2 linked regions of the Alligator mississippiensis genome follow. The protein of the gene in region 2 interacts with the protein of the main gene of each other region in a pairwise test. Links are inferred from orthologs where the notes say so. Each region holds a gene or a part of one and is shown on either strand. Other genes may lie near its edges.

What was found.
Region 1: the proteins of TNFAIP3 (region 2) and ARRDC3 interact in binary tests that used the Homo sapiens proteins (3 or more experiments, as listed by UniProt). The two-hybrid records come from large-scale screens. The link is inferred for Alligator mississippiensis from reciprocal best matches to the Homo sapiens genes TNFAIP3 and ARRDC3.

What each region holds. Positions count from the first base shown.
Region 1 is NC_081826.1:242,393,750-242,397,498, reverse strand, and holds the start of ARRDC3 (arrestin domain-containing protein 3), read right to left. Parts: upstream 2,396-3,749; 5' UTR 2,132-2,395; coding exon 1,852-2,131; intron 1-1,851. UniProt on the Homo sapiens protein: Adapter protein that plays a role in regulating cell-surface expression of adrenergic receptors and probably also other G protein-coupled receptors.
Region 2 is NC_081824.1:119,673,803-119,677,551, reverse strand, and holds the start of TNFAIP3 (tumor necrosis factor alpha-induced protein 3), read right to left. Parts: upstream 2,342-3,749; 5' UTR 2,227-2,341; coding exon 1,933-2,226; exon of another isoform or gene 1,923-1,932; intron 1-1,922. UniProt on the Homo sapiens protein: Ubiquitin-editing enzyme that contains both ubiquitin ligase and deubiquitinase activities.

The DNA.
Region 1 (3,749 bases), on a different chromosome or scaffold from region 2:
GGCCCCCGCTGCCGGGGGAAAGGGGTTCTCGATCCCCAACCCCCCCCCAAACCCGCAGCGGCGCACGCTGGACTCCAGGAACCGGGACCTGCCCCGCCCCCACTGCGCCCCGCGCCAATCAGCGGCGGGCATCGCCTTAGCAACAGGCTAACAAACGGCGCCGGGCCAATGGCGGCGGCGCGGGGCGGGGCTGGGGTACTGAGCTGGTGTGACCGGCGTGGGGCAGAGTAGTGGGCACCCGGGCTGCCCGGTGGCCGCAGCGGCTGTGTGGGGTGCGGCCGCCACCGCCGACCCGCGCACCCACCCACCCACCAACCGGCCCCTTTGTTCGCTCCCTGTCCCGGGGGGCGCCCCGAGTCGCCTCCTGCAGTCATCCCCTGGGCTGTGGAGGGAGGGACACAGGCCCCTTGCCGCCCGGCATCCGCAGAGGGGGTGGGGAGAGGGCACGAACTCTGCCTGGGGAGGGACCCCATCATTTTACCTCAGGCCTCGCAACCCGCTCATTTTGTGAACATTAAAAAAAAAAATAAAAAAAAAAAATCCTTCCATTTATTCCAAAAGCCTTTGCCAGCGCAACCCCCTAAGTTCCCCTTGAATGAGATGGTTTTGTAAGGGGGGAAAGGGGACCCCCCCCCTCAGCTCCCGCACTGGTCTCTGCAGCACTTATTTATATATATGCAGAATAAGTGAAAGGGAACAAGGGGGGGGGGGAAGAAAAAAGAAAATTACATAACCAGTTTTAACATTATTTTCTTGTGCTAGGAATTAAGTCATCGCCACCACCTGACGCGTGTAACCAATCTGCGGAGAGGAGAGCTCGCACCCCCTCCCTCTCGCCAGGACTGGTCCCAAACAGGATTGAACCGCTTCTAACAAAGGGTGGAAACTTCAGAAAAACAAGCCAAGAGTCCCCTATACTTCTACCATGTCACCATTCAAACAATAGATTAGCCATCTGAAGACCCGCTGCCCCCTTGCCAAGGCTTGATTCCCCCTTTTTTCCCCCCCATTATTTGATAGGAATCTATTTTGCACTGTACGTGGCTGGCACAGCAGGTTTCAATGAATGCAGCTTCCCTGAACTCCCCAACTTAGGCATGATGCTCCAGTTGGGCACTTCAGGGACTCAAAGGAGGCTTGCAGGCAGACCTTTATACCTGCCTCTCTGACAGATGTGGCGTATAAAAGACATTCAGGTGATTTATTAACTTACTGGGGGAGGTGGGAGAAGAAGAAGCCACACGTGGAGTGCTGAGAGTGTATGTCAAAATAAGCCACAGGGAATCCTTTATCTGCCAACAATTATCCATCCTTCGAAAGGCCTCGCATAATCGATTTGAAAAATAGGAGTTATATCCATAGACGTCTAAAAGCCTGATTCTGTCTTGCATCTCAACATTTGATGAGAAGTTACAAAAAAGTCACTTAAAAGCATTAACTACCTGGCTTGGCCCCCCAGTTCTCAGTGCAATACGGAACACAACCCTGCTCATGTCTAGCTATAGCACAGTTTTTTTCTGACACACTTAAAATAATCATAAAATTGGAAGTGCCTCTGCAAGAAGCTCTGTTAAAGGCAGGTTGTTGGAGAAAGTCCTGTTTTGCAGGCACTTTGCAGATAAAGTCTGACCCACCATCAATGTCCATATCATCAAAACCTACAGCCCCTAAGAGATGTAGTACATTTTCACATCCTTGTATGTTGTGGTTTTTAATGGATATAATAACCAGCCCCCCTCCAAAGACTGTTCAAGCCAAGAGGATGCGAAGATGTGCATGCCTGCTTGCATCAAAAATGACTGTGTAGGATTTTGACTCCCGAATTAAAATGAAAAAAAAAAAACAACTTACCTCTCTCGTGCCCAATTAAGATGTCCTTATGGTTGAAATATTCTACTTCTTCAGTGTAATTCTGTGTATAGGCAGTGTTGGATCCAGCATTTCTAGATTCAGTCCAGCGCACTTTTGCATGTCCTCTTGCGTGAATTTTAAGAGATTTCACTCGAATTTCCCCAGTAACTTCTAAACTGACCCTTCCTGAGACTGTGTCCCCGCTAGAATAGACGGGGACGTTGCTGTCATTGAGACAGTCAAAGCTTATTGTCAAACTCTTCACCTTCCCCAGCACCATTTTTTTTTTATAACAAAGTCTATAAAAATATACTGTAAGAAAAAAACCCCCAAAATCAAAGTCAAGATCTCATATAAAATGGGATCTTCACTTGACACTGTTCAAAGCCTCTGCCGTGCAAAAAAGCTTGCAGGCAGGACCAGTGTCTGCTCTACAAACGCTTCATTGGGCTTGCTGGAAAAGTCACAGCACTAGTGGCTGTTCAGCTACTACCCAGCTCTGAGGTCTCTGTACAAAGACAGGGAGGCTGCGGACTGCCAGCTCACTTTAAGACCAGCTTTGTGAAAAACAACCCCACTGCGCATGTGCGGGCGGCTGCTGCTTCCCTTCTGTCTCACTGCTACAGGAGGTGTAACACAGAAGGCGACCGTGCTGTGGAAGAGGACCTGGGTCTGCTCTCCATTGTGTGTCTCTTGCAGTGATCGCCCCCCTAAACTCTTTCAAACGTGCCCCTCTAGGCCAGCACCCCAAAGCTTCTAATGGCAGGAATGCAGCATTATAAATGCAGCGGAAGGAGGAAGGAGAGTGGTCTAATGCCAGAGCCCTTACAGCTGACTAAGGACACAGCCTCGAGCCCGAAGCATTTGCTTCTGAATGCTGCTGGAAGAGGCTTGAAGAGTTGGGAGAGAAATGAACTGAGGAATCTGCCTTTTATTCGGGAGAAGAGATTTTGGATGGTTCATCTGCTTCAAGCACAATCTGGTGCATTCCAAAAGGCAAAATATTTGCTCTTCAGAAGTATCTTAATGAGCCAGAAATAGAAGTCGATCTTGGCAGGACTAGTTTATCCCCAGCCAGAGGGTGGGATGAACTTCACCAAAGGCAGAGAAAACCCTCTTTTGTTCGGTTCAAACCGGTTTTGGAGACTGGGAGAATCCACATATTTCAGTTATGTCTGCTGAAGATTTGTGTCAGCTGTTCCTACCAACCTCTGAATTCACCAGGAGAAAGAGTTTCTAAAAGGAGAGGAGCACCTGGCTTCCCATTTATATTTCATTAGCTCAATTACAGACCCCACCTACCATTTTTATTCAGATAGTTAGCATTTTTGTTTTCTGGGTTACCTGTGTTAAAACAGGCAAGCAAGTAAAACCTCCCCAAAACAGCTCGGAATGAATGTATATATTTCACAGATAGTTTTCTCCTTTTTTTCTGATTCCATAAGATTTAGTGCAATTTAGAGGGAGATAGAAGAATACCTTTAAGTACTGCTATTTGGAATCAAGCAAATCCTTTCAAAATAGCCCGCATAAATTCAAAAGAGATGTGCTAAATGGATTCTAAGAGAAAAAAAAAACAACCAGACACTGGAGCATATTAGGCACATAGTCTTTCTAAAAGCTCTGTGCAAAACACCTTCACCACCAAAGAGATGTTCTTTACAGTGATATTTCAAATGCATCTGTTACACAGTTCATCTACATGTTCATTGGTACACGGTCATTGCTTGACCATGCTCTCCAGATTAAACAATTTATGGCTACGTTTCTCTTTCCATGTTTATTAAATTCCACGTTCAGTAAAATAATTATTGCAATAGTTATATAATTTAAACAGTTCATGTTAGAAAGGCTAATATGGGTTGACAGGTATATTAGCTCTACTTAGAGAGGTATGT
Region 2 (3,749 bases):
TGATGTGGTCTGTATTAATGAGGAGGCACAGATGCCAGTCTATACATTGGATTCTTTTGTGTAAGAATGAATGATCATCAAACATGTTTGTCCTTACACAATATCTGATGAAGTGAACTTGAGCTTACAAAAAACTTATGCTGCTTATCTGATTTAGTCTAGAAGATGCAAATCTACCCTGCGTTCTGCCTGACATCAGACTAACATGGCTAAATACCTTTCTCAAATGCTAAAGGCAGCCTATCTTCCCCAAGGCTGAGGACACACAACACATGAGAATAATTTACCCCTGATTTCAGTCTACAGGCATCAGGCTGGCCCACAGCAGGCCATATTATGATCCCTAGTCGCTAGGTAGCAAGAGAGTGGGTTTGCATCCAACAAAGAGCAACTTACTGCAGATAAAGGGAGTAGTTAGTACCCCAGATACTCCTCACTTCTGGAGATGTGAATGCTGCCTGGAGTGGAACATCTTACTCCTCTGTTGTAAGGCTCTGTGTCATGTTAATACAGACTACAGGCATCTTAGTCTGAGCTCTGCCTGCTCTGTGTCTGCACCCCTCCCACTTTAAGCAGCAGGGAATCTGCACAAAACTGATTCCCACTGTGGCCAATGCTGTAACAGCCCACCCACTTTTCAGCCACCTCCAGTGTACAATGACCCCTGCCCCTCTCCTTTTTTATACCTGTCAGGATGGGGATGGATACTAAGCCTTCTGAACCACCTTAAAAAAAAAACACCAAAAAAAAAACCACCCAGAGCAATGGGTGTCTCAATGAGCTGTTATGAGTTACATAACTCACAGATGGCCTGGGTGGAGTATGTGTATGTGTGGGTGCGAGTGCCCATTCCGCATGTCCTGTGTATTCTGTGTGTGTCCATCCTGTTTATTCTCTCTGTGTCCATTCTGCGTGTCCTGTCTGTCCATCTTATGTGTGTCCTGTTTTGTGTATGGCTGCCCTGTGTGTGTCCCTGCGTCCATCCTGTTTATTCAGTCTGTGTCCATCCTGTGTGTGTCCCTGTGTCCATTCTGTTTATTCAGTCTGTGTCCATCCTGTGTCTTTCCTACATTTTTCCTATGCATCTGCGTGTCCATCCTGGGGGGTCTGTCCTGTGCCTGTCCCATGTGAGTCTGTCCTGTGTATCTCTCTCCTGTGTGTGGCCCTGTCCATTCCGTGCACCCTGTGTCTGTCCCATGTTTTTCCTGTCTGTCCATTCTGGGCATCTGTCCTGTGCATGCCAGTCCTGGTGTCCATCCTGTTTATTCTACCAGTGTCTGTCCTTGTGCCTGTCCCACGTGTATGACTGCCCTACATGTGTCCCTGTCCAATCTGTGTCCTGTGTCTGCCACACATTTTTCCTTGTGTCCATCCTAGGTGTCCGTCCTGTGCCTGTCCTATATGTGTCCCTGTCCATTCTGTGCATCATGCATCTGCCCCATGTTTCTCCCGTGCGTCTTTGTGTCCACCCTGCGTATTTCTGTCATGTGTGTCCCTGTCCATTCTGTGCGTCTGTGTCTGCCACACGTTTTTCCTTTGTGTCCATCCTAGATGTCCGTCCTCTTTATTCTGAGGGCATCTGTCTCATGTGTACGTCTGTCCTACGTGTGTCCCTGTCCATTCTGTGCATCCTCCGTCTGTCCTGCGTATGTCTGCCTGTCCATTCTGTGTCTGCCACGCATTTTTCCTTTGTGCCCATCCCAGGTGTCTGCCCCGTTTCCTCTGAGGGTGTCCGTCCTGCGCGTGTCCCGGTCCGTTCCGTGCATGCTGCGTCTGCCCGGTGTTTTTCTCCGTGCGTCCACCGTGGTGCGTGTCCGAGCCGCGCCGCGGACCCGCGAACCCGCGCACAATGAACGTTCCAGGGACAAAGGCGGCCCCGTGCCCCCTCCCCCCGCACCAGCCCGGAGCAGCGGCGCCCTCACCTCACCTCACCTCACCTCGGCTCGGCTCGGCGCAGCCGCAGGCGGGGAGCTCGGCCAGCCGCCTCAGGCCCGGGCGGCGCGTTGGAGCGCGGGACCCATCAATCCGCCGCTTTCCCCGCTCGCTGCTGTTGCCTGAGCGCCGCGCTGCTGTCGTCCGCCGCCCCCTCCCTGCTGCCGCTGGCGCTGCGTGGCGGGGAGCAGGCGAGACTGAGCGGGCCGCTTGTTTTTTCCTTTCTGTTTTACTGAGCAGAAACCCCCGCGCGCGCGGGGATTTCCACGCCCGGGGCCGGGGACTTTCCGACATGTGACAACCGCAGCCCGAGCTGCGGCGGCGGGGGCTCCCTCAGCCCGCCAGGGGGCGCCGCCTGCTCCTGCGCCCGGCACTGGCCCTTCCCCCTGCGCCTGCGCCGGCGCCCGGGCCCTGCTACCTGGTGCTGCCGGGAGAAATTCCTTCCCTGCACCTCGGGGTTGTCCCCTCTTGAGTCAGCCCGGGGCGTTTTGGGTCCGGGGGGAGGCCGGGTGGCTGCATTCAGACTTTCCTTCCCCTCCCCTCCGCTTTGCAGCCACGGGGGGTTTCTGCCTGGGGCAAGGCTTCACAGACTCCCAATGCCTGAAGAAGGGTGGCTGCGCGCCAAAGCTTGCTAAGCACTTGTTCCCCCCACCCCCAACTAGTCAGTTGGTCTAACAAAAGATACCACAGATACTCAAAGACCCTTGCCTGTGTGTATGGAGGGGCTTTGTAGTGAGGTGGTGGGGAGGAGGGGAGCACAAGCCATCATGCAAAACTCCTCGCCTTTGGTGTCCCCTGCTGGTGCTAGCCCAGGGAGCTCCATGTGGCAAACCCAAGCGTGGGCTCAGCAGCCCGCTGTGGTTCCTGCTGCTGTATTTAGCCCCAGGCATGGCCACGTGGGCATGCCCTTAAATCAGAATGCGTGGCCTAATGGCTAAATGCAAAATGCCTTCTGAATGAAAAGTGTCCCAAGCCTGCAGCTGCTTCTGCTGCTGCACAGAGGTCTTATGGAGCCGGAGAAGCTGTACTGCTCTAACTAGACACCCGGAGACCTGAAATGGTGCTGCTCTGCCTCCTGCCAGTGTCGTCGAAGCTCAACGGGTGTAATGGTACTTGTATCCATACAACGCGTTATCCCACAGAAGGCATCTTTATACCACTATAGGGCTGTGTCCATGTGAGGGCTTGAACTTATCTAATTATATAAAATTACATCCCTATGTGACACCATTGTACTGCTACAAAATTGGTGGTACAGCTGGCAGGCTTGACCCTGATGTCCCTTCCCACCCTATGGTTCTGTGATTCTTGCCTTGTCTGCAGAAGTGGCTATTCGCAAATCTGTGGTTGTAATGAGGTTGTCTGATACCCAAGGTGCTAATCACTTTGCCATGATCATGGCTCCATCCATCACTTAGCCTGGCACTTGTCAGGGGCTCTTTCTCTCCCTGAGTAGCAGTAGTAGTCATCATCATGAGTGGTGTGGTCACATGCTTGTCCCCATATAGAGACAAGGAGATAGGTGGCTCATAGTATTGACCTCAGCTGTTGGAGGATGTCTGTATGTGGGTGAGCGAGCCAGGACCACTGTGCTCTCTTCCTGTCACCCATAGAGTTTCTACTTTAAGCAGAGACTCACTGTGAAGAGCAGAATCTTTTCAACCCATTCACAGCTTTTGTTTCAATCTGTCTCCACACTCAAGCAGCTGTTATTGGTGTGGTTATACTCTTTTCAGCATTCAGACTTTCCTCTCAGAAAGCCTTGTTTCATGAAGCACAGAAATGCAGGCTTGGGCTTGATGTAGTCAATGTGACTC